2 linked regions of the Canis lupus familiaris genome follow. The protein of the gene in region 1 purifies or fractionates together with the protein of each later gene. This does not show direct contact. Links are inferred from orthologs where the notes say so. Each region holds a gene or a part of one and is shown on either strand. Other genes may lie near its edges. The genes, in order: EIF3D and EIF3H.

What was found.
Region 2: the proteins of EIF3D (region 1) and EIF3H purify together in Homo sapiens (affinity purification with mass spectrometry; 10 studies listed by BioGRID and IntAct, counting the BioPlex papers as one, with this or other methods). This does not show direct contact. The link is inferred for Canis lupus familiaris from reciprocal best matches to the Homo sapiens genes EIF3D and EIF3H.

What each region holds. Positions count from the first base shown.
Region 1 is NC_049231.1:28,882,279-28,898,056, reverse strand, and holds the start of EIF3D (eukaryotic translation initiation factor 3 subunit D), read right to left. Parts: upstream 6,901-15,778; 5' UTR 6,750-6,900; intron 4,367-6,749; 5' UTR 4,357-4,366; coding exon 4,234-4,356; intron 3,936-4,233; coding exon 3,890-3,935; intron 3,047-3,889; coding exon 2,910-3,046; intron 2,289-2,909; exon of another isoform or gene 2,240-2,288; coding exon 2,154-2,239; exon of another isoform or gene 1,548-2,153; coding exon 1,475-1,547; exon of another isoform or gene 556-1,474; coding exon 443-555; exon of another isoform or gene 1-442. UniProt on the Homo sapiens protein: mRNA cap-binding component of the eukaryotic translation initiation factor 3 (eIF-3) complex, a complex required for several steps in the initiation of protein synthesis of a specialized repertoire of mRNAs.
Region 2 is NC_049234.1:16,475,126-16,490,110, forward strand, and holds the end of EIF3H (eukaryotic translation initiation factor 3 subunit H), read right to left. Parts: intron 8,119-14,985; coding exon 7,998-8,118; intron 5,829-7,997; coding exon 5,696-5,828; intron 4,284-5,695; coding exon 4,186-4,283; 3' UTR 4,054-4,185; downstream 1-4,053.

The sequences.
Region 1 (15,778 bases):
ACATTTTAATGACATGGTGACTGAGGCCAAGATGAAGAGACAGGTAGTTCTAGAGGCCTCCAGATGCACTGACTTCTAACCTGGTACTCCGGTCCCCACTGACATTGATCTGCTACTTGAGGTAAACAGCTCTTTGTAATGTCAGGAAAAGCTTTGCTTCTGACAAACTACTCTCTCTTCTTGCCAAAAGAGCCACACAACTTGATTTCTCTTTTGCTCACGATGCCAGGAAGTGGAAAGAAATCTCTCAAGTTTAACATCAGCGAACTTCTTTCTCCTAGTCTCGCCTTAGCCTTGATTTTTAAAAACACATTAATCTTGTGCAATGTCTTAGCAGCTTCAAATTCTCTTTTGGAAATACTATGGCTTAGGAACATAAGTCACCAGCAGCAGGTCCACACACCTAAGTGCGTGGCGGAAGGTAGCAAACGATGCCACTTACATGTCCTGTGGCTCTGATACTTCCAAGTAGCGCATCTTCATTAACTGAGGAAAGTCCATTTCTTCTTTTACCTCCCAGTCACTACGGACTTCAACTGAAGAGTCTCGGGGTTTCTGCAGTGCAAAACCAGTGGAGGGAAAAGAATTACAACTAGGGCATAACACAAGCAAAAGGCATGTTAACAGTGTGAAGGGTTTTTAGTCAATAAATCTCTTCAGAACATTTGCCATGTGTTGGCTGCTTTATAAAAGAATCCCTGACTCTTTGGAGTTTATGATCTAGAAAATGACTGAAGGGGTCAAGAAATAAAAATCAATCAGGACTTTTACTTGAAGGTGATGTCAGCACCCAGGGAACACCAGCTCTTTCACGTGTATGTATTTCAGAAAAGAAGCTTTAGCAGTTTTTTATTTCTCTCAGGACATTAACACACAACGAGCATTGTGTCCAGCAAAATCTTAATTGCTGCCACTGAAGCTTCTCTCTTGCTTACGGGTGTCTTCTATCCTCACAGTGCCCACATAAGCACCTGTACACGAATGCTTATGGCAACATTTTTCATAACAGCAAAAAGCGGAAACCATAGTGAACCGATAACAAAACGTGGTATATCCATACAAGTTTGGCTGTAAGGAGGCATGAACAAACACCACGAGGTGGATGAACTATGAAAACATGCTCAGTGGGAGGATCCAGACACAAAAGACTACATTCTGTTTAGGATTCTGTTTATGTGAAATGTCTAGAAGCACAAATCCAGAGACAGAAGGGACTGGTAACAGCCAAGGGCTGAGGAGAACAAGGACTAAGTGCTGAAGGGTACCGGGCTCTTTTCAGAATGAGGAGAATGTTCCGAGACTGGCTGCAGTAACACTGGCCCGTATCTGTGAATGTACCAAAAACCACTGAACTTGTATGCTTTAAGTAGGTGGATTGTATAGCATGTGGATTTTGTTTCAATAAAGTGGTCATAAAACCAAATAAACCAGCAAAATTGAGTTTCTAGAGAAAACTCTGGTGTGGATACACTACCTGTGACTTCTGGTCCCACTTCTGCCTCACTCCGAATTGTTTCTGGAATTTTTTCTGCAGCCGTATGCGCTCTCTAGAAAGGTAAAAAGATTGTGCTGTGGGTGCAGACCTTTAAGTCAATGGCTTCTCAAAAGGCAGAAGCTGCCCTTCTCTTCCACTAAACCTCGTCCTCAACATCAGGACTTCTCGCAACAAAGAAAATAGGGGCTTAGTGAAAAAGAGTCTAGTGAAAGCATGCCATGTTAGAGTGCTAGAAGTACGCTGCTCCCCAGTGCCGAGCAGGTAGGCTTTGCCCCCCCTGCAGAGTCTACTGGCAGCCCCAGCCTGAGGCAGGGCTGCTGCATGACACAGCTCCCAGGGCCCAGTGTGAAGGATGCCCCTGGACTTGTGCCACAGCAGAACCGAGCCTACGTGAGCCCCAGGGCTTGACTTACTTGCCCTCATTTCCTACCAGTGTGCATGGCCACTGCCAAGTACCATCCAGCTCCTCTATCTGCCAAGAATAGCCCTTGGAGGACGATGGCAGGCTAAACCAGTGGTTTCCCTGGAATCAGGGCGGTTTTGTTTTGTTTTTTTTGCAATTATGGGGAAGACAACCATCCTCCTGCTTTGGCTCAGTGATTTCAGAGTACAGTCAGTCTTGAAGAACAGCGTGTTCCAGGAGGATGGAAAACCTCACCTCTCTTTCTGCTTGGCACTCTTAGGCAAGGTCTGCAGGTTGAACTGCAACATATTCCGTCGATCTTTGTCTCTGCGGAGGTTCCGCTGGGAATTAAGAAAAAACACCCATGTCAAAATCTTGGGGATTTGACAGACAAAAGGCAGTGCTCAATGGGAGCGCTTGGGTTTAGCCTAGACATACATTTGCACGTTTTTTATTGAAGTAGGCTTATGGGCTTTTATTAGAGTTACAGTTTGCCTCTTTACGTAGTAAGATGCAGCCCGACTGGACCTTCTACTTAATAAAACCTGCACACGGCAATCAAATGAGGCAACAGGCCCCTTTCTACGTGACATAAACACCTTCTCTTAGCACAAAGGCATGATGCCCTAGCCACTGGGCAACAAAAACCGAAACTATCTGAATGCCAGGGTGGTTCATTTGGTTAAGCACCTGCCTTTGGCTCAGGTCATGATCTCAGGGTCCTGGGATCAAGTCCTGGGTTGGGCTGTGCTCAGTGGGCAGCCCTGTTTCTCCCTCTGCCCTACCCCCTCACACCCCTGCTCATGCTCTTTCTCTCAAATAAATAAAACCTTTAAGAAAAATGCATCTTTGGACCCAGTGTAAGTTTACTTTAGCACAACGTGTCACTGGTCAGCTACTTGAAAGTCACTGGAAGACCTATGAGAATGCACTTTCCTCTCACCAGTATGCACAAGGTGGCAACCAATGGTAATGGCTCCAAGATGGTAAGATTGCTGGCCCTTGGCCTACCTGTGCAAATCGCATCCGATTCCGCTGGTAGGCAGTCTTCTGTGTGCGTGCTGTGTCCACCAGTTGGAAACTAGTTTCATCCTCTTCATGGAAATAAGCATACTGACTTCCACCACCAAACTGAGAGGAGTACTTATCTGTAAGCAAAGGCAGTGATGTGTAACAGCTACCACCTACAGACTTTACACACATGCTGGTGTAAAGCCCTGCTACTTCAAGCATGCACTCAGGATCCTTCGCAGAAGCGCATGCATATGGACTCGCCCCAGATCCACTCAATCAGAATCAGCCTCTTAAGAAGATCCCAGGAGATTCATGTGCACATTCAAGTTTGAACAGTTCTGGTCTAAAGAACTTTTTGAGTCAAAACAGAGTCTGAGGACCTCAAGCCCATTTCACACCCTGCCTTATTCTGTAAGAACAGGAGTTAAGATTTACTCTCCCAGAAGGGACAAATATGTGGCATGCATAATGCAAATATGCAATTATCTGCATCAACTGCCTAATGGGTTATGATATACTTTACTGTTGACCTCAATCCTGATAAACTTAACTTAGTATTCCAACTAGCCACTTCCAACAATCTCAACTGGCACAGAAAAACAAACAATAACCCATTTAGTCCATCAGGATCTTAAAATCTGGAGTCTACTGATTGGCTTCAAAGGTTCAGTAACTCCCAGGCACTGGAGTGCAAAAAGGGAATGAGTTCAAGGATCTGTGAAAAGGTTCATGGCTCCCTAAAAGTGGGAGGAAAAAAATTCCACTATAACAGATTAAACCTCTTTAATGAACAATCTAAGTTTGGAGTCCATTAAAAAAAAAAAGTAGGTATTGTCTACAGTTCAGACTATGCCCTTAAAAACCATGAATTATCATTAGCATTTTGTTCCTGTTCTAGAATGCTTTTGGATGGAGGTTACTAGAAAAAGTAACAATCCTCCCAAGGCCCTGATCTGGGTAGTCAGTTGAACACTTACTCGTGTACCTCTTATCTTGGTATGTGGCACCTGTCCAGTCTGCAACCTGTAAAAGCAACAAGAGAAGAAAGAGCACACAGGTCAATCAGACATGCTTCTCCTAACCCAGAAACCCCTGTAAGTGAAGACATAGTCTGGGAACAATGTAAGAAGGACCGGCTCCCAAGGCCTTTGTAAGTGCCCAGCTTTCCAATGATGACTGCAAGTACCCAGATGTGAGAACCTTCCCCAGCTGGTGTCCCTATAAGGAACTCACAAGTTATGCTTTTGAGATAATACAATTGGAATTAACTAACAGAGAGTAGCAGCTATAGCTTAAAAGATTTACTTTAACAGGTGAGTACCTTTCCTAGCCGATCTCCTTTGCTGAATGGCTGGTAGGGCATATCCCGAAACTGCTCGGGCACCGCACATGGACCCCAGCCTGATGGGTTGTCCTGGATCACGGGTGTCATGAACTTTGCCATCTTCTAAAACCTTAAAAATACAAATAATGTGAGTAGCTTCACGAAGAAAGGCCTCCAAACACAAAAAGCCTACTGAGGTAATCTAAGACACAATGATAAAATTCAAAAAGCAACACACAATATGGAACACCCAACTGTTGAGCTCTACTATTTTCCTATAGATAATATTGGAAATACTTAGAAGACCACTAACAAAACCAAATTACCATATTGCATTGATTCTGTGACACCCGCTTTTCCCACTATAATGTCTTTGAAATGAGGCTGCATCTCATGCTTGATAGGCTGTCTTAATTGGCAGGTGTTCTTTTTTAGTGCTACATAACATAGTAGTGCTTTTTAAACCGAGTGGTGTCTTAGATTTGATGGAATGAGTAACCTTGTCTCAGAGTGGTGTCTTAGATTTGATGGAATGAGTAACCTTGTCTCAAGTGTAATAACCTCATTCTAGTTCTCAGAAACACCTCTGCCAAGGTATACAATTTGTAGCTTCCTCAAGCCTTGTCTTTTCATCTGTAAAATAAATCAAGACCCTACAAGATCATTGTGAAGGCCTTGATAGTTACATGTAGGAGAATAGTTTCATTTTAAAATGCCACACAATTACAATTGGGACTTGCAAAAATATATTTACATGCAGAGTGCTGAGAAAAAAAGGAGTCCAGAAATATATCCTGATATCTAACTTTTCTTTCTTGTTTTTCTAATTTTCTATCAATATAAATCCTTATGCAGAACAAGTGGACACAGAGCCAAGTTAAAAGCTGGTCAGAAAGCTGAGGTTACCATAAACTCTAGGTCATAAAAGTGGCCATACATCACATGTTTGTAGATATTATCAGTACCAGTTAATGTTCTTATCTACCCTGCATAAAGTCAGTGAATGCCCCCAACAATCCTGAGGGAGCGGCTAGCGTCATCCCCACTTTTCAGATAAGAAAACTGAGGCACACACAGAAGCTAAGAAATCGTTCAAATTTGCAATGCTAGTTGATGAAAAAATTGAAAAAAGCAGTCTGGCTGGAACCCACACTCTGCGTAATGCTATAGCTCCTCCCAAGTGAGTAAAAGCCACGGGCTACAGAACAGATCTTTGCCTGACAGTTCCGATCAAAGACCTATGCACTTATCATCCATCTGTCGTAATCCTCAGGTTGAGTTCCCAGAGGAAAATTCATTTCGGGAGCCTGGAGAGTAACCACAGGGAACAGGTACAGCGACTGTAGTAAGTTCTCCTCCGTGTCCCATACTGGGGAGAGTCAGGCTTCCTACAGAAGCGACACCGGGAATCAGAGCAACAGGGAACGTTCCTGAGAGCTCCCTCCTCCGATTCTCAGCTTAAGCTATACTAGGGGAAGAGGACTGAGAAGAGGGGTGGCAGTTTCACGACGATTCATGTTAAAATGAGTATTTACTGAGCTCCTACGATGTGTCAGACACTATGCTAAAGAAGTTAACAGCACTAACCACACCCACACGCCCTTTTTGGAGATTAAAATTTTGCAGCTCGGCCAATTAGGTTGTCCATCTGCCCACTGCTTCAAAACACAGTTGATTTCCAGGGTTGTCTGTCTTAAGCCCAGCATTCTTCCCGTTGTTATAGCTGGGGAGCAGCCCGAGAAGAAACGGGGCTTTAGGCGGTACCTAGTAACACACTAATGATATTTAAAAAATCTGGCTGTTCTGCCACAGTTGACGAAGGAAACAGACCCAAGGCTTGGCATGCATTTTCCAGCGGGTGGGAGGAAGTCCCTTGGCTTCAACGCGTGTAAAGTAAAAGTGAGCAGGATGGAACCAGAAGCAGAAACAGCCGGTGAGGTGCGCCGGTGACAGCCGTACCGGCTACAGGGGCGGGGGAGGCCCCTCCGGGCCTCGGCGGGGGCGCTCGGCGGGGGCGCTCGGCGGGCAGGCCACTACAGATCAGAAGCCACCGGCCCCGGGGGGAGACCGCCTCAGATCAGACCAGACCTGCGCCGCCACCGCCGTCCATTTCGCAGAAAAGGGAAGAACCTTTGGGCTGGGAACCCCTGGGAGCAGGTCGAGCCCTGCTCAGCCTGGAGCCCCCCATAACCTTCACACAAACTCAGCGAGCCGCAGGCCCCTCTGAAGGCCCGGAGACCCAACGGCGCTAAGAGATACTGTCAAAGACGCTCAGGCCGTGGCCGCAAAGCGGCGCCTAAGACCGGGGGACCCCACCCTCAAGGCCGCGCCCCGCATCCCTAAGTGTGTCGGGCCCCGGGGTCCCCGAAGGCGGAGTCCTGCCCCGCCCAGCGGAGGAGCAGCGGCGGCCGCGGGGTACGGGGGTCTCTTCCGGGAGGCCTCCCCTCCGAAGGCCGGGCCCAGCGCAAGCCGGCTCCAGAGACCCGCGGAGCCCTACGGAACACTCCTCTCACCTGTAAAGGCCTCCGCCGGCCCCGATGGCGAGAGATGGTCCGGGCCGGAGACCGCGCACCCGGGTGCCCTCCGAGGAACCCGGTAAAAAGGGAGGAAAGATGCGCGCGCACCGGCCGGCGCCGCAAACACCATCGGCGCTGTCGTAAACTGCCCCCTAGCTTCCTCCGGAGTCGACCGCGGAACGCACGGGTCGTAAAGCGACGGTCTCCGTCGCACGCCCGGAAGTTCGTCACTGTTCTCTGCGAGGTGGCCTTACGGTCTCCGAGGAGCCCAGACGCCGGAGGTGTGTTTACAGTTACGTCACGGGCGCGTCCGGCGGCGCCCCGAGAGGGCGTCCCGAGTTTTTGAAACGTGGCGGCCGTGCCCTGGAGGCAGGAGGCGGGGAGCGCGAGGGCAGCTCCGCGTCCCTGTGCTTCCCCGACGCTCCGGCGCCTCGGTGTCCGCGGGGACCGGGGCTCCGGCCTTTTCCAGCCGTTCGTGGGGCTCGGGTCCCACAGCAGGGGCCAGGTCGAGGCCCAGAGGGCGGAGGGGTCCCAGGGAGCCCGGGCCGCGAATGCAGGCGGGCCGCCCTCCGGGGTCGGACTCCGCGCACGACGACGTCCGCCGCTGACGTGGAGGATGCGGCCCCCGGGCTCGCGCCCGGGATTGTGCCACCGCGTCGTCCGGCTGGAGGCCGGGAACCTTGCGTGTTCGGTAGCGGTGGGGACTCAAGTGCGCAGTGATGTGCTCGCTGTCCCGTCTGCGACTACCGGCCTCGAATTTCTCCTGGAATCCTAGTCGGCGATTTCAAAACCACCGAAAGAGAATCCAATCCGAGGATGTGTTTTTATTCCAGCCGCAGGTCCTTTGCTATCCGGCCGGCTAGGGTTCCTTACCAGTCTTCCAGCCTGACCTCTTCATTGGAAAATAAATCCCTTAGATCCGATTTCCTGCTCGGCTCTGCCACTCACTAGCTGTGCAGGCTTCACCTCTCCGGGCCTCAGTTTTCTTATCTGCAGACTGGAGATAATAAATAATATTGGGGCCCTATGAGGGTAAAAATAAGTTCGTGTGAAAATAGTAAATGACACCCACAGGTTATTCCATCTCTCTCAAGCTGTTTACTCATCTGCAAAATGAAAATGTTACTGGGTACTCTTGTTTCCACAGATTGTCTCCCAACCTGCTCAGTTTCCAATTTTCCTAATTTTTGTTGATGGCACCCACTTAATGGTGCTCGGTGCAAAGCCGTGTAGTTATCGCTGGTAGTTCCTTTTCCCTTTCCGCCGTATTCCCACATTCAGTCCTTAACCCGGGGCTGCTCTTTGTTCTGCTTTCAAAATACATCTTGAACGCTGGCACCTCCCCCACCAGCACCAGCGTCCTGCTTGGACTCCGCGTGTCCACTCTTGCTCCTCTAGGTTCCTCCCCCAGTGGTACCCAAAGCGATCTGTTGACAGTCCCCTAGCAGCTTCCTGTTACGCGCTCAGAGTGAAACATGAGTGTCCTCCTGTGGCCTGTCTGGTCCCTGGCTACCTTTCAACTTTATATCCTTTTTTTTTTTTTTTTTTTTTTTTTTTTTTAAGATTTACTTATTTGATAGCAAGTGAAGCAGGGGTGGGGGTAGGGAAAGAGGGAGAGAGAATCTCAAGCCGACTCCACACTGAGGGCAGAGCTCCACAGGGGCTCCGTCTCACGACTTGAAATCACAACCTGAGCTGAAACCAAGAGGTACTTAACCAACTGTACAACCCTGGTGCCCCTATACCTGCCTTTCCATGTGCTGTAGCCACCCTGCTCATTTTTTCTCTGCCTCAAGTACATCAACTTCATATCTAGCTCAGCAGGGCCTCGGCAGTGGCTGTGCCGCCTGCATGGAACACTCTTTCCCAGATTTAACTGTAGCTGCCTTGTCCCATCATTTACATCTCTGTTCCAAGAGTTCTCTCCTCCGTGAACGAGATCTTCTCTGACCACCATTTCTAAGGAGGCTGTTCCTCCCTGCGTCCCTCCTCACCCTCTTACTCTGCTCCATTTCCTTCGTAGTTCTCATCATGCTCTGAAAAATTTTCTTAAAAGATTTTATTTATTTGAGAGAGAGCATGAGCGGGGGGTGGGGGAGGTAGGGGGTGCAGAGGGAGAGAGAGAAGCAGACTCCCCACTGAGCAGGGAGCCTGATGTGGGGCTCCATCTCAGGACTCTGGGATCATGACCTGAGCTGGAGGCAGATGCTTCACTGACTGAGCCACCCAGGTGCCCCTGAAATATTTTTGTTTTCTTGTTTAGGTTTTGTCTCTGCCTCTAGAGTATAAACTCCATACGAATAGAGCCTTTGTCTGTCTTGCCTAGAGTAGGGCCAGTAATACAGACTTATCGAATTGTTGAGTGAATGCATGGGGATTTTATGAGAATTGAATGAGAAATTTATCACATTAGCCTGGGCACATAAACAAGCACTCAACATTAGTGAAATTAAGATCAATATTAATTGTAAGGTGTTTTAAAATGTAAGGGGAGATGTATTTTTGCTCAATTGCTTAGAACATGTCTTTCTTTTTTTTTTTTTTTACTGTGGGTTCACAGGCCATCTGCTGCAGTCTCTCCCTTGTGTCAGAGTTTAATCATCTTTCCCATATTTTGGCCCAGACGTCTCCCCAGATGGAGAAGGATTTGGAGTGTCCTGTCTCATTCTCAGTAGTGGGCCTATGGCTTTGGGTTGGAGATCTTGCCTTCATTCCTCTTCTCAGCCCACACCTCTGCTGCTTCTCTGTCTTTCCCACTGTCCACATGTAGCTGGGATGACCCTTCTTTGCATTAAATCAGAGTGTGCCCGACCTGCCATCTTCCTCCTTCAAAACGGTTTAGTAGCTTACCTCTAGCCTGGGATAAAATCCTGCACTCTGTTCTGTGGCCTGCAAATTTCGAAATGGCAGCTTCTCATTGGCAGTGTTCTCTTTCTGGGTCATACCCAGGTTCATTACTGCCCAGAGACCTTTTTACCTGTGGTCCTCTGGTGCCCAGAATGCATCTCCCCTAGATCTTCATGCACTCATGTCTTCATCAGAGATTTCCTGACCACTCCTCCCAGTAGCCTCATGCTGTGCTTATTTACTTTCTCACTATCACATGCCTGGCACTATTCCAGGGATTTACATTAACTTATTTAATTCTCACCACAGCTGTGTGAGGTCAAGCCTACTATTCCCGTTTTGCAGATGAAGATAGGGAGGAGTTCTCTAGGCCGAACAGTATATTGTGAAACTGGGGTTTTGAACTGAGGAGGCCACGTGGCTCCTGCTGCTTTTTGCTTCTGTGTTGGTGTTTTGCTGGATGACTAACATTTGTCTTGTAAAAAATTATCTTGTTTGTTTTTTTTATCTCCTTATTAGAAATGGAAGCCTCATAAAAGGTGGGATCTTACATGCTTTGTTCACTGTTGTATCCTCAGCATCTAGAATTACCACACCATTGGTGCTTGAAGATGTTTGCTGGATACACAAGTGACCTCTGTGGACAGGTCCTTTCCTCTGTGTGTCCACAGCACTTGGTGGAGCCCTCCATTGCTGTGCTTACAACATGTCTGGTTCTGGTACCTGTGTCCCCCACCTCTGATAATCCAGACCCTGAATTTGCATTGTTTCATGAGCACAGTGCCTGGTACGCAGAGCATGCCCAGGAAATGCTTAATGAATCCAGCGCCTCTGGATATTGCCTTTAGAGGCTGTAAAATTAAAAACCTTAACATTCTTGCCAGAAAAATGTAGGTTTGAGGGCAGATCCCCATTTCTCAAAAGATTTCACAGTGTCTTCCCACTTTGGAGAGGCACAAACACTGCCTTTGGGCAATTGAATGACTGATTTGTCATTATCAACAATGGCTATCATCAGTCTTTCAATTTGTGACAAGGTCCTTAACCTCATGACTACAATATCTTTTTCTTTTTTTTAAAAGATTTTATTTATTCACTCATGAGAGAGAGAGAGAGAGAGGCAGAGACACAGGCAGAGGGAGAAGCAGGTTCCATGCAAGGAGTCCAACACAGGACTTGATCCCGGGACTCCAGGATCACGCCCTGGGCTGAAGGCAGGTGCCAAACCGCTGAGCTACCCAGGGATCCCCACAACTACAATATCTTAATAAAAATTTTACAGTTGGTCCAGTGAGGCTCAGAGAGGTAACGTCACTAACACAAGGTCACACAGCTAGTGAAAGGCAAAGCTGGGATCTTATTTACTCATTCAACAGACATTTGTGGAGCACCTTCCATGTGCCCAGTATAGGCTAGGTGTGGGACACAGCAGGGAGCAAAGTGCACGAGGGTCTTGCTCTGAAGGAGGGGAAGGTAGACATTGGGCAGATGTACAGAGATGTGAGACGTAGGTAAAGATGCTGCACCAGGTCTCTGTGTTAGAGAATGGTCTGGGGTGTGGCACTTATAAGGGGGGAGTTCAGGGAGGCCCCTCTGGGGAGGTGACTTTTGAGCAGACACTGGAGAGTATGAGGGAGTGAGCTGGGAGATCCTGGAGACCAGCATTCTGGAAGAGGGAACAGAACCCTTCTCTTCCCTTATGTGGCCTTCTGAGGAGGGAAGGACAAATTTTTGTGTGCCAGGGACTTCAAGAGATTTCCTTAATCATCCATCCAGTCCAGCCTTCACTTTAGACAGGCATCTCCTTGTCACACCTGTCTAGCTGGTTGTGTTACGTCTGCTTGGATGTGCCCAGTGCTGGGGAACTCATTCTCTGATGCCACTTTACCCTCTATGGACTTTTCGGTAAACATTTCCAATTCCTTTGTCTATTTCTTGGTGTCACTTCAAGTGCCACTTGGTCCTCATTTCCCCACATTGGGGAATTTTGTCAGAATTCTAACAAAATGGCCACTTCTGGAATCACTCCTCCCCTCTTCTGGGTTCTCTGATTCCTGCTTGGTTTCTTTCTTCTCTCTTTTTATTTTTAAAAGATTTTATTCATTTATGAGAGAGAGAGCACAATCAGGGTGAGGGGCAAAGGAAGAAGTGGGCTCCCTACTGAGCAGGGAGCCTGATGGAGGGCTCAATTCCAGGTTCTGAGATCATGACCTGAGCTGAAGGCAGATGCCTAACTGACCAAGCCAGGTGTCCCTCCTGCTTGGTTTCTACCTACCTTCCTTTTTGGAGACTTAACTTCCCTCTCTACACCCCCCTTCACATGAACACATTCTCCCTCTTCTGACCTCTCTGTCCAGGCACCCCTCATCTTCTTGGAGCTTGCTGTCTGCCAGGGTGGATGAGCTACTTCTCAGCTGCTGGCTTGGGCATCTTCATTGAGTTGATGGCCCACATTCTTTTCAGTGCCTGGGTTCTATGACTCTTTCTTCCTCAAGAATTCCCCAAAAGCTATCATCTCTGCATGGAAGTCATCTCTATTCTTTGAGTATTTTTTAGCTCTTGGTTAAAAGGCACTTCCTGGGGGACACCTTCCCTTCCACTCCCTGTGCTTCCTCCTCTGAACACTTGTAGCAATGGTAATTAAATGATTATGTGCATACATATTTGATCCACATGTCTCTTCCATCACATGGAGCACCCTGAGGGAGTGGCGATAGGGCTTGCATTCCCATTTGTTAGAACAGTGCTTGACGTAGAGTAGGTCCCTAATTAGTATTGGTTGACTAAGTTAGTGGATAAGAGGATCAAAAATTGGTCTGTGATCATTCATTCAATGAGTATCATTGAGAGCCCCCCTCTGCAGCAGGGCCCTATATGTGTAATGACTGATAGTAAGATTCTTGTTTTCAAATAGCTGCAGGTCTAGCTGAGTCAGTGACTACAAAGCAATTTCTAAATTGAAAAAAGAGCCACAGGTGACTGCCAGGCCCTCCATTAACATCCTCTCGCTTCATGTCTCTAAAGGTGAGGCATCGTTATTTCCGTTTTCTGACCAGACTTTTGTACCATTCTGGCGTGTCCCTTCCAGATAAGGTAAAGGCATTTTCTAACAGGAACCTCTACTACCTTCAAAAGAGAAGTAGCATTTTTGAGTGCTTTATATCATTAATAATCTCTTTGATTCTTTCGGAGAGTTCTCTGAAACAGGCATCAACCCTCCCATTTATGCGGGGCGGGGTGGGGGAGGAGAAGCAGGCTCAGGCCAGTTGGGCCCATCGCCCAGTGAATAAGACTGAGACAGGATTTGAGAGCAATTTTGTGGATTCAAACGCTCCCCTCCCTTACAGTGTGGGGTGCGGAGGGGAAGGCCTTTCCTGAGGTTTGGAAGGCTCTTTTTCTCCCTCTCCTCCTCTGTCTCTTGCCTCTGCTATCTCTAATTTATTCAGACCCTTACTATCCTGAATATCAGTGGCAGCTCCAGAATTTCCCCATGGGAGGGGCTTAGTGACAGGAATCTGGTGAAAAGGGGGAACTCTGGGCTTGTCTTGAAGCTGTGTTTGTGTAGCAGGTGCCCTGTTTTCACTGAGGCACGTATATTAGAGGAAGGCACTCTGGAGCTTGCGAGGGGGCTGCGCCTGACGACATCCCTTGGCAAAACTGCTGAGCATTCAGACAGAACAAAAAGGGAGAAGGGGAAGGGACAAAAAAGCAAGCATCCATCTCTTTGAATGCTGCCTACATGCGAGGCATCTCATGTATTTTGATTATTCTAGACTGTGAGGCAAAGCGTTGTTAGGATCTAGGGTATGCTCAAGAACTTGAACATATAATTTACCATCCAAATTGGGGCACTTTGGGGAGACAAAGGGGTCACTATCAAGAATTATACCAGACAAAAGGTATAAATTGGGACAGCTCCATGCCAACTGGGAGTTTGGTCTCCCTAGGCAGGAGGGAAATAAAATTGCCCTCTGTTCTGGTTATCTATTCCTGTTCAACACATCCTTCCAAAATTTGGCAGCTTAAAACAACAATAATCCTTTCATTATCTCTGTTGGTTTCTATGATTTCAGAATTTGGGAAAGAGTTGGCTGGTAGCCTGGGGTCTTCCAGGCCATATTAGTTGGACGCGGGTGGAGTTGGAGTAGCTGGGGGCTGGCCAGAACCTTCTCTTTCTCTCTCCATCTAGTCTCAGGGTCTCCTTATGGGGCGAGTCCATGCGGAGAGATGGGGTTTCTCACAGTGTGGTGCCCTCAGGGCAGCCAGACTACTTCCATGGGGGCTGAAGATTTCCAGAGCAAGATTCTGGCTGACAAGCTGGAAGTGGTGGCACGGCCTTCTACAACCTAGTCTCAGAATCAGGCAGCATCAATTCCACCCCTTCTCTTGGTGACTAGTGAGTAACGGGCCTGCCCAGAGTCAAGGCACAAGGTTCTAGAAGAGTACGTGGAGAGAGAGATTGTTGTGACCATTTTAGGTGCCTAAAATCTGCCACAAATGTAAGCTGGTCTGGTCTTGCCTTGCCTTGCCTTTTCTCCCCTCCTCCCTTTTGGGTAAGATTTATGTATTTATTTTGAGAGAGAAGAGAGATTGTTTGCTCAGTGGGGAGGGGCAGAGGGAGAGAGAGAGTCCCAAGTGGATTCCACACTGAGCCCACCATGGGGCTCGATCTTACGACCCTGAGATTACAACCCAAGCTGAAACCAAGAGTCTGACACCCTGGTGCCTCAAACTGGCCTTTCCTAAGAGTCACCAGTTGGTTGTCAGCAAATGTGTGACCAAAGAGTTTGGGACACATCAAATACCCGAGTTTCTGAGGAGGTCAGGCTGGGAGGAGGGCTGGCTGTGATCATGGTTTACTAAGGGAAACCTGCTCACGGGGAATGGAGGAGTGAATGGAAACATGGGAATGGGAGAGTCACAGAGCCAGAGGCTGGCCTTGTCTGGGGAGCGGGTTCTTGGCTGCACTGGCTGGCACAGCATCCTCACTTCCTGGGCGAGGCTGTCCTCTCAAGCTGCCTCTGCTGAGAAATGCTTCTTCAGAATAATGCCGTCCCTTGTTCTGACTCCCTCCCACCCAGCAGCCCTGTGAGACCGTGAATCCTCACAGAGCTTTCATCGCAGGGCAGTATATGCTGGTCAGGCCAACAAAAGCTTCCTGTCCAGCTGATGGTTGTATTTCTCGTGCTCTCTGTTAATAGATGGATCATCTGTTTATATGGCAGCCTTAGGAGATTGGTTTCAGGGAGTCTGCCCCTGCCTTGTGTGCAGATAGACCCCAAACTGTTCTGATGGATTCACCAAGGTCTCCTGGTGGTAACCTGTCAGCCTGGTTAGCAAACTGCACCTGCTTATGTGGCTTCCATGAACCTCCACAGGGATCATTGCCCTATTTTCTAGGTGAGAAAACTGAGATACAGTGAGGCGGTGTCTTGCCCAAGGTCAGCCAGCTGGTACAGGTGCAATTAATGGTAATCCAGGTGCACCTGAAACCAAAGCTGGCATTCAAATACAATCCCTAAATCCAAAACTCTGAAAACCAAAAGTTTCCTCATGAGATTGGCGCAAGCACTTGGTGACAAACCTGATATGAATTGGACATGATGTTACTTATAACCTTTATCCTATCCCCCCTACTATGACTATTTATACATTTTGTTGCATAAAAATTGAAGGGTTTATGGAGTACCCTTAATACATCCCAGAGCTCTCTGGGCATATTCCATAATATATGGTAGACTCTCTATAAACCTTTCATGAAAAATGCAAAGAGCTCTAGGTTAATCAAACACATCGAGTCCCAGGGGTTTCAGATGAAGAATTGGGAATGCATGCCAAACTTTGCTGACTCAGCATCAATGCGAGACCACTGTCCCATTTTACAGATGAGAAAGACTGAGAGTGGGGACCATAGTGGCCCAGGCTGACTCCCATAGAACCACAGCATTTTATCATCTGTTGGAGGGAGTGCTGGGAGGAAGGGAAGCCTTTGAGTCACCAGCTCACTCCGAAGAGCCTTGTTGCCCCAGCAAATTTTTAAAAATAGAAAACCTGGAGGGATTAAAGCCCTAAAGGATGCTTCAAGTCCCCCGGAAGAAAGGGAGGCTTGCTGTATGTTCTGATGGTCTGCATTCAAATTTATTTTTTATCTCAGCTGGATGTACACTCACCCATCACAG
Region 2 (14,985 bases), on another chromosome or scaffold:
AAAGAACTGAAATGGGTTGTCTAACTCAGTCCTAAGAAAATGCAACTGATGTCAACATCAATCCCATGGAATCAAACAGTGCCTCTAACAAACAGATCATATGACAATTGATGTGAGGGCCTAACTCTGTGAGAGTTCTGAGAACAAGAATACAGGGAATCAAAGAATTGTCTAGGATGAACCAAACCCCTATGGACTGGCCCAAGCTGGGGGTAGTAGCTCTTGGAAAGCATTTCTGCATCCATGGATTTTCTCTCTTAAATCACTATTGAGGCTTTGGTATAGCCATTATGGGTTCTACTATAGGGCCAATCAGGCTTAAAGTACATATCACTCTTTTTTCTACATAAAAAGAAAAAGAAAAGCTCAAGGCAATGGGCATTAGGCCACAGCTGTTTGCTCCAGCAAATTAGAATTTCCCAGTAGTTCTGGCTCCCCAGCCCCTCCCTCCCAGTCTCAGGTAATCTGGAGTTAGATCAATCCTATTCCAATCCATGCAAAGAGGTTCACTCTAATTTGGAAGTCACCACACGATAAGCCAGCTCTAACTCCTCCATTGCACAATCTTGACTATGGGATGCAGAAACCACCCACTGCTTTTTTTTTTTCTCATCTTTGTAAACATTAAGGGACTCGGGATCCTCATTTCCCCCCTCATTATTTATCTACTAACTGCTGCCACAACAGAAGGAATCCTGTTGAGACAGACCAAAGCACTGTCCAAGACACTGATGGCTTGATCAGGCTCTCTGCAGATGGGCACTTGAATCATTGCTAAAATAGGCCCTACAGGCATTTGGCTTGACCCCACGTTAGTATTATCTCTTTAAACATCCTTGTCCCGTTTCTATGATAGGACTATCACAGAAGAAGATGCCCAATGAGAAGATTAAGGGGGAAAAATGACTATCATCAACAAATAAATACATAAATCTTTAGGGGATCCCTGGGTGGCTTAGCAGTTTAGTGCCTGCCTTTGGCCCAGGGCGCTATTCTGGAGTCCTGGGATTAAGTACCGCGTCAGGCTCCCGGCATGGAGCCTGCTTCTCCCTCCTCCTGTGTCTCTGCCTCTCTGTCTCTCTCTGTGTCTATCATAGACAAAGGGGAAAATAATGGACAAATGGCATATATTTAATATGAATGAGAAATGTTTACCATAAAACTCAAATAATTCTTTCGTAAGACTCTAATATCTACATCAGAGTTCAATGCCAGCATGGTTTGAAAGTGAAGGTTTCACTTAGATTTTCCAAAGACTGTTAATAAAAATAGTGTGAACAACACTAAAAACACTAAAATCTGAAAATCCAAAATGATTAAGTAAACATTAGATAACTACACCTCCATTTCCAGGCTTCCAAAAATGCAGAAAATAGTTTTTAGTTTACCTCAATATTTAAAAAATAAGGTTATCCGGGGCAGGCTAAAAATTTATTCTCTCAGGTAGTTTCAATTAAGAATAATGCTATGTCTTCTAGAACCTTAAAAAGGTGATCAATGATCATGGGGTCAATTTCAAGTATGTTTTACTTTTCCGCTTTGTCACATTTAATTTTCCATTAAATTAACATGCTAGTTTTTTCTGTCTTTTTGTTCTTGGGTAAGTGAATGATTTATTAGACCTGATACTCAGTTTATGAGCTTTTCTCATTTTAACTTGAAGAAACTGCAAATATTTATAGAAGATGAACCATACGTATCTGTTCCTGAAAAATGTCAGAATATAGCACTCAAATCAAATGCCGAACAGAAGCTAGTCTCTAACACTACATACTGTGCAGATTTAATTTCCACTGACATGTTTCCCTAAACAGTTTTTCCCACTACAGTAATTCCTAACCCAAAACACCTAAAATATTCCATTAAGTGTGTACTCACATATTACTCTGAGTTATGGGTATCTAAATAGTCATACGGAATTTAGGAAGTAACCACGTCTTTAAAAATATAATTGAATCCTGTTAAATTAATCTTACACCATGAGGAAAACAGTAATTATGTTTGAGCTGATTTTCCTTCCTTCTATTTTGCTATTTGATACCTCAAGGGTGTTTTAACTCCCAACAGAATTCCAAATGTAGGGAATTAGAATGCAAGGAAATAAACCAAGAGTATATAATCCACAAGGACAGAGACTATGACCAGTTTTGCTTATCAATACATCTCATCTATGTAACACAGAGTCACACTCAAAATATGTGACTCATATAAGGAAGCACCATGGGTGGGAGAGCAAATCAGTATAACCTTTCTTGAAGGCAATTTGGCAATACGGGTAAAAAGCCTCAGAATTTTACAGACTCTCTGACCACTAAGTCCATTTCTAGAAATTTATCCTAGAAAAATTAACTTGTGTGAGCAAATATCTGAATTCTACAATGTTCTTTTTAAAAGATTTTATTTATTCATGAGAGACACACAGAGAGAGGCAGAGGGAGAAGCAGGCTCCATGCAGGGAGCCCAAATGTGGGACTCGATCCTGGAGCTCCGGGATCACGCCCTGAGTCAAAGGCAGATGCCCAACCGCTGAGCCACCCAGGCGTCCCTGAATTCTACAATGTTCAAAGGCCATGACCTTTTAAAAGCAAAACCCTGCTAACAATCCAATATCCCAAGAATTTAACTCTCAACATAAACTCTATGGCATCTGTGACATAACAACCACTGTTCTAGGTGCTTTACCCCAATCTTCAGTAAACTTTTTTTTTTTTTTAATTTTATTTATGAGACGCAGAGAGAGAGAGAGGCAGAGACACAGGCAGAGGGAAAAGCAGGCTCCATGCAGAGAGCACGACGCAGGACTCGATCCCAGGTCTCCAGGATCATGACCTCGGCTGAAGGCAAGCGTTAAACCGCTGAGCCACCCAGGCTGCCCTTCAATAAACTTAACACTCACACCCACCCTATAGGGTAATATACTTGTCTCCTTTTCTCATCTAATTTGGATGAGGAAAATGAGGCACAGGGAGACTAAGCAACTAGTTTAAGGACACCTTAGAGGAAAAGAGTCAGGTTTCAATCCAACTGTTTGATTCTGGAGCCCCAGGGGTACCTCCAAAACAATATGGGGGGGGGGGGGAAGGGTTTCTCAACTCTTCTTATCCTTTACCCATTCTTTGTCTTCCTATGGGCCATATCTTCAAGGTGAGAATCACTAAATAAGAGCCTCACAGACACACTTCCACCAACTGTAGATCTCACTTACTTTGGTGTTAAAATAGCAGGATTTTTTATTTTTAACAAGATTTTATTTGAAAGTGAGAGAGTGAGAGAGCCAACGATAAAGAAAGAATACGAGCAGGGGAAGATGCAGAGGGAGAAGGGGACTCCCCTGTGAGCAGGGAGCCCAATGCAGGGCTGGATCCCAGGACCCTAGGATCATGACCTGGGCCAAAGGCAGATGGTTAATCAACTGAGCCACTCAGGTGCCCCCTTGATGATCTCTCAAATATTAAGTTAAAAGGTTCCCCCTCCCTCAAAGTAGTACTGTTTTTCCAATTCTTCTCTCCCCACTTAGAAAATATGCTGTCAGCATGTTTCATCGTATAGAAAAGATAAACAAGTTCTAAATAAAATATATATACACAGAATGTATTTCATTTTCATACAAAATATGTTTTTTTGGATGAAACTTTTAAAAAAATTATCATGCCTGATTAATGACCTATCAACATGGGGACTGGTTGACCACTACCTATGGAAGTGAAAAAGTGGAGCAATGAGAAGCATGCCAAGCAATTCTAGGCCTGAGGATGAGGGCTGCCTGGGCAAGCTCACAAAGCCTGGACTTCTAGGGGCACTACTTTGGGAGCAATGAGGTAAAGAATTCACAGTAGGTGCCAGGGCCTCCGGGTCAGGAGTTAGGACAAGTAGCACTGGACTATATGTTGAAATGTGGCACCTCAGATGTAGCAGCAAAGGTGAGGGAGCCCCTAGCTCTGAGCTTGATGTAGCTTCTGGTCAAATCTGTTTTATCTTGTGGAGATAAATAGCATAAGCAAAACAAAAATAACAAGCTATATATACTACACGTAAAATCAAATAAGCAAGCAGTCAAGGTTGTTTTATTTTTATTTTATTATTAGCTAGAAAGACTTTTCAATACACAAATGTATTTCTTCCAAGGATTGCCCCAATGTGATCTCAAGAGTCCATGTTAACTCCTTTTCTGGAAACTTCCTTTTCTCAGTTGTTGTATTCCTGAAGAGCCTGGGCCATGAAGAGTTTGCCCAAGTTTTGGGCAGTGAACTCCTTGATGTTCTGGCAGTAAGTGTTAATCTGGCCTGTGCATTGGGGAAAGTGAGAAAGAAAGTCATAATGTTCCACAAATTACAAAATGACTTAGAACACTAGGGAAGCAAGAAAATCAGCATAATACAGAATCATCAAAATTTTGTTTTCAATCAGGAGTTTATAGGAATCAATTCTGTTTGTCCCCACCTTTATAATAAAGAACATAAGTTCTTCTGAAAAGAAGCTACCTTCCACTCTTGGTTACGTGAAGACTGAAGAAAAACTACAGTGGTTACATACACATTAGCTGTTCAGAAGGCAGTGACCATGGAGATCGGACACACGCTGTACTAAGACAAGTGGGAAAACAGCACGGACTCTCCTCAGCCAGGTACAAAGGAGATGCGAAATCACAGAACTACAAACGAAATGGCCCCACCTGACCCAGATGTGCACAAGTGCAGGAGTTGTCAGGCTGTGCTCTGAAAATATTAAGGTTTCCTTTTCTGATCCAAGACAGAGCAGAAACAGAGTCCCCATGAAGAAAGGGCTCCGTCACTGCTCTTTAAGTCTTAAAACTCATTATCTAATCTGATACAACATTCATGCAAGGTGTTTTATATATATAATACAACTCCGCCTGAACTGGATGTTAAGTAAGGAATGTGCCTCGGTTTCCCAAATTTAATTTATATGTGTTCTAGAAAGTTTTTAAAAATCTGGAATCTGACCCCACCCCCCCTACACACACTGAAAATGTATAAGCAGAACTGAGAAACTGTGGAATATCAGCTTTTCTTTAAGTAGGATTTTCACTCTAATAAATCTCTCACAGGCAACCGGCTGATTGAATCAAACAGTATTTAGCAACATTTATACAGAAATAAGGTTATTATAGATAAATAAGAGCAAAATCAAGTCCTGACATAGGACATAAGACTCCACCACTGAAAGGCAGTATTAAATGGTAGATACTCCCAAAGCACATCCAGAATTGCATTCCTGTTGCTACAATGTAAGGCAAAGTAAGGGAAATCCTTTTCCTGCAGTCAGAAAATCCAATTCAGTTCAAACACCCACATGCAGACGTGGGGCTAGGCTGGAACATGAAAAGCAAGCAGCTTGAGCTGAATGATCTTCTGCTTTGGAACGTAAACATTTTCCGCTGGTTTCTATGAAAGATGACTCAAATAAAATCTTTCCACTTTAGAAAGTTTATAATGCCATCTCAAAAATGTTTAGATAAACACAGAATGAAGAAGCACTGAAAGGACCTTAGAAATAACAAAGACTGACAAATTCTTAAATTTCAGAAATTATAGGTGCTAGATTCGAATTCATCATTCAACCATTTTAAATACACTAGCTTTTACGATGTATTTTTCAGTTTATAAATCTCTTCTTGTCTTCTGCTTCCTAAGGAAAAGAGAAAACTAGCCATGTTTGCACTGGCTAACAATACCTGCAATGAGTAGAGAATCCATCCTGGCAGGAGGCTGAGGTGGTTTGAAAAGTTTGGACAGATCCTCCTCAGGCAGTGGGGGTTCTCCCCGACTCTGGCGCTGCATATTCTCCTGCTGGCGACGCTGCTGATACTAAAATTCAGAGAAGAAATGATTTGGTTATTTTTCTCTACCCGAGGAGATAAAAAGCCTCCTCAGTTATGCAATCAGAAAAACCCCGTTGCCCTGAATTCCAAGCTCAGTTTTATAAATGGTAATCCATGGTAACTCCTCCTTCTAAGAAGCTAATAAATATGACAACAAAGAAAATTTCTTTATCGGAAACTCTTGTGTTACTCTGAGCTCTGAAGAGTCTATAACCATGGGATCCCTGGGTGGCGCAGCGGTTTGGCGCCTGCCTTTGGCCCGGGGCGCGATCCTGGAGGCTCTGGGATCGAATCCCACGTCGGGCTCCTGGTGCATGGAGCCTGCTTCTCCCTCTGCCTGTGTCTCTGCCTCTCTCTCTCTCTCTGTGTAACTATCATGAATAAATAAATAAAATCTTTAAAAAAAAAAAAAAAGAGTCTATAACCAATGACATGCAGAAAGCAAACTGGTTATGTGGCAAATGAGGGCTTAAAGGCAAAGAAGCTCATGATTAGTGAGTGAAGGGCAGTGTTTTTACCATTTAGGAAAATGGGGTAAATGACAGCATTATAAGTATGACTCATCTTAACTGTAGTAACAAAGTAATCAATCACCACACTGGGGAACTTTTTCAACTTTATCCCTACTGACCAAAACAACAATAATGCTGATGATGCTGATACTGTTAACATCATCACTATTGTTATTATAGTAAATACTTCTACTAATCAGCTGTGCTTTTAGCTCTATAGCTAAGAATGAATATTAGCTTCGATAATGTTTCAAAAACTGTCAAATTAGATTCCTAGAAATCTAAGAAGGTGGGCATACATCTAAAGGTATGTACAAACTTACTGAGAAAATCATAATCAAGAGATTAATACTTATGGGTTGCTCACAATAGCAGAGGGAAAATATCCCACATGCAGCCTTAGAAGGTCAGGTAATGAGAAACCAAGGTGGTAAAAAATTTAAGAAGGAGAATACCCTCCTTTTTGCAAAGATTTCTAAACTTATCACAGGGTTTGAGGGTAAAAGCCTGACAAATCTAAAAAGGGTACTGAATGGTGCTGGTACAAATGAACATCAAATGCAAAATTTTAAGACATGCTGGAAGTCTGGAAAACATCTATAAGATTGGTTCCAGAATCAAGTGTCTTGATACTCCAGGTTGCATCCTTTACCTATGGGAAGAATCAGCAGGAGAATGGAATTAAGCTAGGGTTTTTTTTTTTTTTTTGTCTTCCCCTGATCCTTTATAAGTTTTTTTTACCATTGCCATCTTTACCACTCATTTTCTTTTCGGTTAAAAAGTATATACTTTATAGATTCATATGTCTTTTAAATCCTCAGTGCAGCAGAAACAAAGTATTTCAAATTTTACTATATATGAATATTGATATTAAAACAATTTTTAAAAATATAAAATTCTCAGAGACATTTAAGTTGTAGTTGTGTTGAAAACTATAGTTAATACCTAATTTAACATATATTTTAATGAACACACAGTAATCATATACAAATGCTTTCACAGATGAACATTCTGGAATCAACTTATCTATGAATCAAATGCTATAAGAACACTGCAGAGCAATACAGTCTAAAAACAATATTCCAGGAACTGTGAAAATCATGTGACCGTCAAGCAACACGAATAAAGAAAAGGTTAAATGGCCACAGCAGTATATATGTGCATATGAGAATATTCAGATAATTCTGGGGTTTTTATCTGTATTATACTATCTATTTCACAGCAGTTGGTCTATTATTTCCTATCAAAATTGCTTGCTCTTAATCACAATTGCTCAGTTTTTCAAATGAACTGAAGATTGCTAACTATGCTGCAATGAGCCACTACCAAACCAATTATAGTTAGTAAAGAAATGAGCTGTGACACTCCAGAATCTCTTTTGCCTCTGATTTTCTCAATAAATGTATCTCTTATTTGCATAACACTGCCATCACAATCTGAGCTTAATACATCGGCTCTCTTTAAAACAGGTATTTTTAAGTACAACTTAGAAATAATATATGATAATAAATTAAATATGATGTAGAGTTACTAGCTAATAGTCAATGCTTTATCAAATATGATTTTGATCATTTTGAAGATAACTCTTGAAGCACCATACTTAGAAATGAATTGTGTTTGTCAAATTTTCCCATAACACTAACCTGATGTTTCTGCTGCTGTTGTTTACTCGTGTTCCTCATGTATGTGTTATATTTAACTATATCTTGGCTCATTTCATCCACTCTGTCCATCAGCAACTGTAGATTCTTCCCCAAATGATTGCTGAAAGGTAAATATACCGACATATCATACTTTAAAGCTATAGCTCTGCCACTGCTCTAAACACTCCTGAGATATTATATTGATCTGTCATTTGCCAAATGAATGAGAGCACACATATGCATGAAAGCAGGGGACAGGAAAGAATCTGAGTCAGCTTGTTATTAAACTTTCCATACTGAACCCACAACTGTAACCACCAGAGTATCTGATATAGCTCAGTTTCTTATTGTCAGAGCATACATATATCAGGGTAGGGGCTGTTAAACGTATCTAGCAGGTTATAATGTGTATTTTCTGAACAACCATGTTTAACTTAAGCTCAGTACTCCTGCACCTTTTTTCTTAGCACAACCCTCTCCCCAACTGTGCTCCAGAGCATTTAAATGAGGAGCCATGCAAAGGAAGGACCATGCCAACACACTAAGACTTCTGGTACATGGTTTCTCTATCTAGCAGGTTCTAAAAGAACAACAATAGCATTTATTCTGGAAAGCCAAGTGAAGAAAGAAGGCTCCTTTCTTCTTGCCCTTCCTAGAATCTGTAGTACAGTCATTCACACTTCTTTTCCTCTTCAGAAATTCCTATTACAATTCACTTACCAAAATCACCTTAGAAAATGATGCTCCTGGTTAGTACTCTGAACACCATATTCATTAATTTCTGCTTGCAACTATCTCCTACCAGAGTAAAGCCTGCTACTACATATATGTATTCTTAAAATAACTAGTTAACAAATAGTATTTGCTCATTCATTTCAAACAAGGACAAAGTACCTATTATGTTCTGACTTCAGTGTTAGCAAACAGAGAAACAATCATGAATGAGACATTCATGGTCTCTATCTTCACTGAGCTTACAAATGAGTGGGAGTGGGAAGGAGAAAAAAGACATACAGATGGTATGGTTGCCATATCTCTTTCCCTTCAGGAGAGAACAGGCTGAAAGCAAACGATCAGAAGGAATCAACCAAGCAACAAAGTATTTCAGGCAGAAGACAGCATCAGTGCCGAATGCCTGAGCAGGGCAAGAACTAGGCAGACAAAAGGAAGAGGTCTGGCATGTCTGGAGCACAGGGACAGGTTACAAAGGACAAGCACAGCTGGGAAGCCATTAGATGCACTACAAAATACACCAACCACAGTTAGCGTGAACGAGACTCCACAACTTCAACATAAATGGTGTCCTTGAGTTGTACATGGTTGCAATAGATTTTGCCATAAACTTTTAAATGACTGGGGCATCTGGGTGGCTCAGTGGTTGAGCATCTGTCTTTGGCTCAGGTCATGATCCTGGGGTCCTGGGATCGAGTCCCACACTGGGCTCCCTACAGGGAGCCTGCTCCTCTCTCTGCCTATGTCTCTGCCTCTCTCTGTGTGTCTCTCATGAATAAATAATATCCTTAAAAATTATTTTTTAAATTTTTAATGACCACTCTGGCTACTATGCAGAGAACAGACTGGAGAGTAGAAACCAGGAGATTAGTTAAGAGTTGATTGTGGAGTACGGGCAAGGATATAGAGAACCCAGAACACCCATACACTGTGGTGGGAATGAATTTACAATGGTACAACTACTATATGAAAAATAGTTTGGTGGTTTCTCAAAAAGTTAGGTTACCATACGACACGGCAATTCCACTTCTAGGTAGATATACCCAAGAGAACTGAAAACATTTGCTCACAAGACACCAGACATGTATGTTAAAAATTGTATTATTCATAATAGTCAAAAAGTGGAAAAAAAACAAATGTCATCAAAAGATGAATGGATAAATTGTGGTATGCCCATATAACAGAATACTATTACGTCATAAAAAGAATGAAGTCCTGATATATAAATAAAACTTAAAAACATTACACTAAGTAAAAGAAGCCAGATACAAAAGGCCTCTTGCTGTATGGTTCCATTTATATGAAATATTCAGAATAGGCAAATCCGTAGAAACAGAAAGTAATGAGTGGCTGCCAGGTTGTGGAGGAAGGACGGGTGACACTGTAAATATATTAAAAATCACAGAATTATACTCTTTAAAATGGTTAAGATGGTAGATTTTACATTATGTAAATTTTATCTCTACTTTATACTCATTTTCTTTCAAGATTTTATTTATTTATTCATGAGAGACACATGGGGGGGGGGGCGGGACACAGGCAGAGGGAGAAGCAGGCTCCATGCAGGGAGCCCAACGTGGGACTGGGACTTGATCTCGGGTCTCCAAGATCACATCCTGGGTTGAAGGCGGCGCTAAACCGCTGAGCCACCGCAGCTGCCCTTATCTCTACTTTAAACACTATACACACACACTCATACATACACAGAATTATTGTGGTATTACAGAGAAAACAGTGATGGCTTAGATGAGGATGGTAGCAGTAAGCATGGGAAAAATGGGCAGAAGTGAGAGAAATTAAGAGCGACTCCCAGTTTCCTGGCTTGAGCAGCTGAATGGTTGGCTATGGCATTTCAGAGAAGGGGCAGGTTTAGGAAGGAACAGACTGGGAATGTTGGGAATAAATTAAAGTAATCCAGTTACATTATGAATCCTAAACGGACTGTATCTGTAACCTGGAGAAAATTAGCAAGTTTTGGCTCCTTCTTAAATAGCAGAAAGAGCACAGAAAGGGGGGTGGGGGGCACACCACACATGTGCACGCATATGAATAAATGTAACCTCTAAGCCTAGGATTGGCTGTGTGTGTGTGTGTGTGTGTGTGTGAATAAATGTACCCTCAAATCCTAGGACTGGCAGCATCTACATAACCTTGGCCCAGTGACTTGGCCTAATGACTTAATCTTTTTTCAAAAGTTTCAGTTTTCTGAAAAAGTGCTTTTTTCCAGTTAAATTTTCATATTTTTCTTATTCCATTTAATTGCATTTTAATTTTGTGAATCATTTTTTTTTACTTTAAAATATTTCTTTTTCTTTGGAAATGAGATTAAGTATTTGTTTCTGTTTCCTTCTAATTTTTTAACAGCTTGATTTTAACTCACCTCTAATTAAGTGTCTGGGCCAATGTTGCAAGCTGAGCAATTAAAATGATTTTTTCTATCAAGCAGCTACTCAAATGTCCAGGTCCACTGAATGCATAGCCACACTGTGTTCCAAACTCCTTCAAGATTAAAATTTAACAATAATCTGTCCGCTAAATGTACTCTTTCAATAGCTACTACTGAGTATACATGAACTTTGCCAGTCACTCTACCAGCTACTGAAGCTATGTAAGACATTGCTAAACTCCACCTATGCTAGTGAGAAAACAGGAATGCAAACAGATAAACACAGCATAGTGGTGTCTTTGCTCTAACAGAATGGAAGCAGAAAAGATAGTTTGGTAGGACCAGATGAGACCTTCCAGATTATTTGACAGTCGAATTTTGAGTTTTTGAAGAGGATCTGGAGACAAGGAAAACAGGAAGGACACTGCAGCTACTGGGTGAAGGCAGTGTGTTCGGACACTCTGACATGAAAATCAGAATGCCTCTGAAGAAATGCCCAGAAGGGTGAGACTGGGAAGAAAGACAGCAGTGAAACTAAGGCAGACAACAGGCACAGCACAGTGACTTGGACGCCGGGACTAGAAGTTTGGATTCTATTCTAAGGCCAGTGGGGAACCAGTCAAAAAGTTAAGCAAAGGAGTAATATAATCATACAATTTGCATTTAGCAAGATCACTACAATGAAAGAGGAAAAGGTTAAAAGCGGGAAGTTAGGAGACTGCGAAAGTAATCAGGACTAGAAATAATGAGGCCCTGGCCAAAGGTAGCAAAAGACACAGAAATAAGATGAAATCACCCCAGGAATGTACACATGGGAAGACAGACCCTGAGGTACAATGATATTTAGGGATGAGCAAAGAGGTCTCACTGTGGAGAATGAGAAGGACCAGAGTTGTAGTTGCACAGACTCCAAAAAGAAAGGTTATTTCAGGAAGGAGTCATCAACACATTAAATGTTTGAGTGCCTACAACACCCAGTAGTAACACAGTGATAAAGTCACCCTTTGTGACTTTAGTGAGAGCTCTGACAACAGAGAAGAAAAGGAACACTAAGAAGTTTGACTATAAAAACAGGTGAATACAGGACGCTTGAGTGGCTGCTCAGTTAGCCACCCAACTCTTGATTTCCACTCAGGTCATGACCTCAGGGTTAGGAGATGGAGCCTTGCATGGGGGAGGAGTCTGCTTAAGACTTTCTCTCCTTCTCCCTCTGTTCCAACCCCCCACCCCATACTTACTTGTGCTCTCTTTCCAATAAATAAATCGATCTTAAAAAACAAACAGGTGACTATGAACCAAAAGATGAAAGGAAATGGATAATAACAGCATGAGGTCAAAAAGTGCTCTTTTTGTAACTTTGTTTTTTAAGATGAAGGAGATTTAAGTTTAAACATTCTTATTCTTGGGAGATGTATGTTCAAACAGGGGTTAAAAGTCATGTCAGCAATTCACTGTCACATGGTTCAGAAAAAAAAGCATGTACTTATGTGTATGGACAAAGAGCAGGTACAAATATGGCAAGATGGATCAGTGGTGAATCTAGGAAACGGTTTACGTGTGTTCATCAGCTCATTCTCTTTCAGTTTTTCTAAGGAGCTGAATATTTTCAATTTTTTTTAATGGGAAAAACAAGTCAAGAAAGCTAATAGAAAACCAGTACAGATAGCAACTGAAAATATGAGGAAAGAGTATAGAAGAATCAAGTTGGATCCCAAGAAGGCAGGATGGATGGGAATCGGACAGCCTTAAGGAAGGGGGAACCAACTCTCACTTCCCCAGTAGAAGATCTGAGACTCAGAGAGCTGGCAAGAAATGCTGTCATTACACAATTAGTTAGGGTGGTGGGTCAGAGATGGTAGTGATGGTGGTAGTGACATTGGAGAAAACCATAAAGTACAGTTACTGCCAGATACAGAGACAGAGCTATTATTTGTTTCCACACCTTAAATCCTAGAGACAGATTATACTGATTTTAGCAATGAGAAAGGTGCTACTAGAATAGACCTTCCCTCTCCACCAAAAAATGTCTTTGATATAAAGTACTATTATTATATATTGTTAGATATATCCAATTACTGAAAGAAGACAAGCACAGATATGTGGCCTTTAAGCATTTCCTAACATTTATATTACTACAATGTTTTTCAGAAATATATCCAATAAGAAACACTCAAAAATTTGCATGACAGATATTGAAGGACAAAAATAATTAAAAATAATACTTATTTCACAGATAACATTCACAGGGAATCGGGTCCATTACCAAGAACAACTTTATGGGGATCTTTTTAGTACCAATTCAACTAGAATACTGAACTAGGGAATTATTGCTAGGAGTTTCAGTAATATACCCTTTTCTTTTATTGTCAAGGAAACAAAGAACTGAAAAACAGCTCACTTAAACAGATGTGAAACCAAGACATGCAGTGAGAAGTCTGCTCTGGTTGCAGGATCAATTTATCCTTATCCTTAATGTATAATGCCCATCCTCAGTTTACTTGTTTAAAGGAGAAATAAAAACAGAATCATTTCTTCATGTGTGAAAAGCTGAAGACTTGGGTAGCAGATTTTTAAAAATTTTTAAAGGCTGTTATGAAAACAGCCATTGCTAGAACTTCCAACAAATACAATTAAAACTAAAAAAGAAAAAAAAATTAAATGAAAGGAAATGTAGTATGTTTTATTCACAGCCTAAAACAAATTTATCAAGTAAACCAAAAAAGTGGAATCCACATATGGGTTGTGAAAAGCAAGACCAAGCAAAATATTTGAGGAGCTGTTTGGACATGATTTCTGATATGGTTTCTCAGAAAAAATCTTATGGTGACTGGCCTGATTATCATCATGCTATTAAAGTTGGAAATTAAAATTTGAAGGGTGCCTGGGTGGCTCAGTCAGTTAAGCATCCAATTCTTGATTTCGGCTGAGGTCATGATCTCAGGGTCGTGAGATCAAGCTCCATGTTAGGCTCTGTACTCAATAGGGAGTCTGCTTGAGATTCTCTCTCTCACCCTCTCCCTCAAACCATCCCCCTGCTTGCATGCTCTCTCTCTAAAACAAATAAATCTTCAAAGAATTAAAATCGGAGATGTACAAAGGTTATATTTCATTCTTATAAAACAGTACTGTCAGTTTGGATGAATACAATAGCCGATTAGTATAGGCACTGCTCCAGGGTTGCTTGCCTTATTTTTTTCCTTCCAACAAGAACACAAATTTACCTTTTAAATAATTTCACACGAAAAAGAAGGGGCCCCTCTTTCAATTTCACTTAAAATACAGAAGATAAAAACTATAATAAAACATTTTTCTAGATCTTAGTTGCTATGGCAAACTGGGAACGTTTTCTTGGCTATTAAAAATGCTGTTTTGGGGCCAACTGGGTGGCTTAGTCCATTAAGTGTCTGCCTTCAGCTCGGGTCATGGTCCCAAGGTCCTGGGATCAGGCCCTCCCATTCCCTCTGTCCGCTCATGCTCTCTCTCTCAAATAAATAAATAAAATGTTTTAAATAAATTTTTTGAAAAATGCTATTTTGGACAAACAGACATTATGGACCAGCTCATTGGTAATTTAAAGCACAAAGAGGCTATATTTGTTTTGTATGCTCAATAAACTTGGAAAAGGTGAAGGCATAAATTATATAAGCAAACGCTTTCATGTAGTAAATTTAAAATTACTGTATAACTACATATACTTAATACATCAAATTGTAACCTTGCACACTAAAGAAATGTTCTTAGCGCAATGCTTTAAGTACAGGTGTGCTGAGTGTGTTTGCAAAAGCAATAAAGAAAAGTATGACCTTCTAAAAGAGACAAATTAAAGGACTATTATGAATATATGTTTGCAGTCAACAGTACACTCTTCAG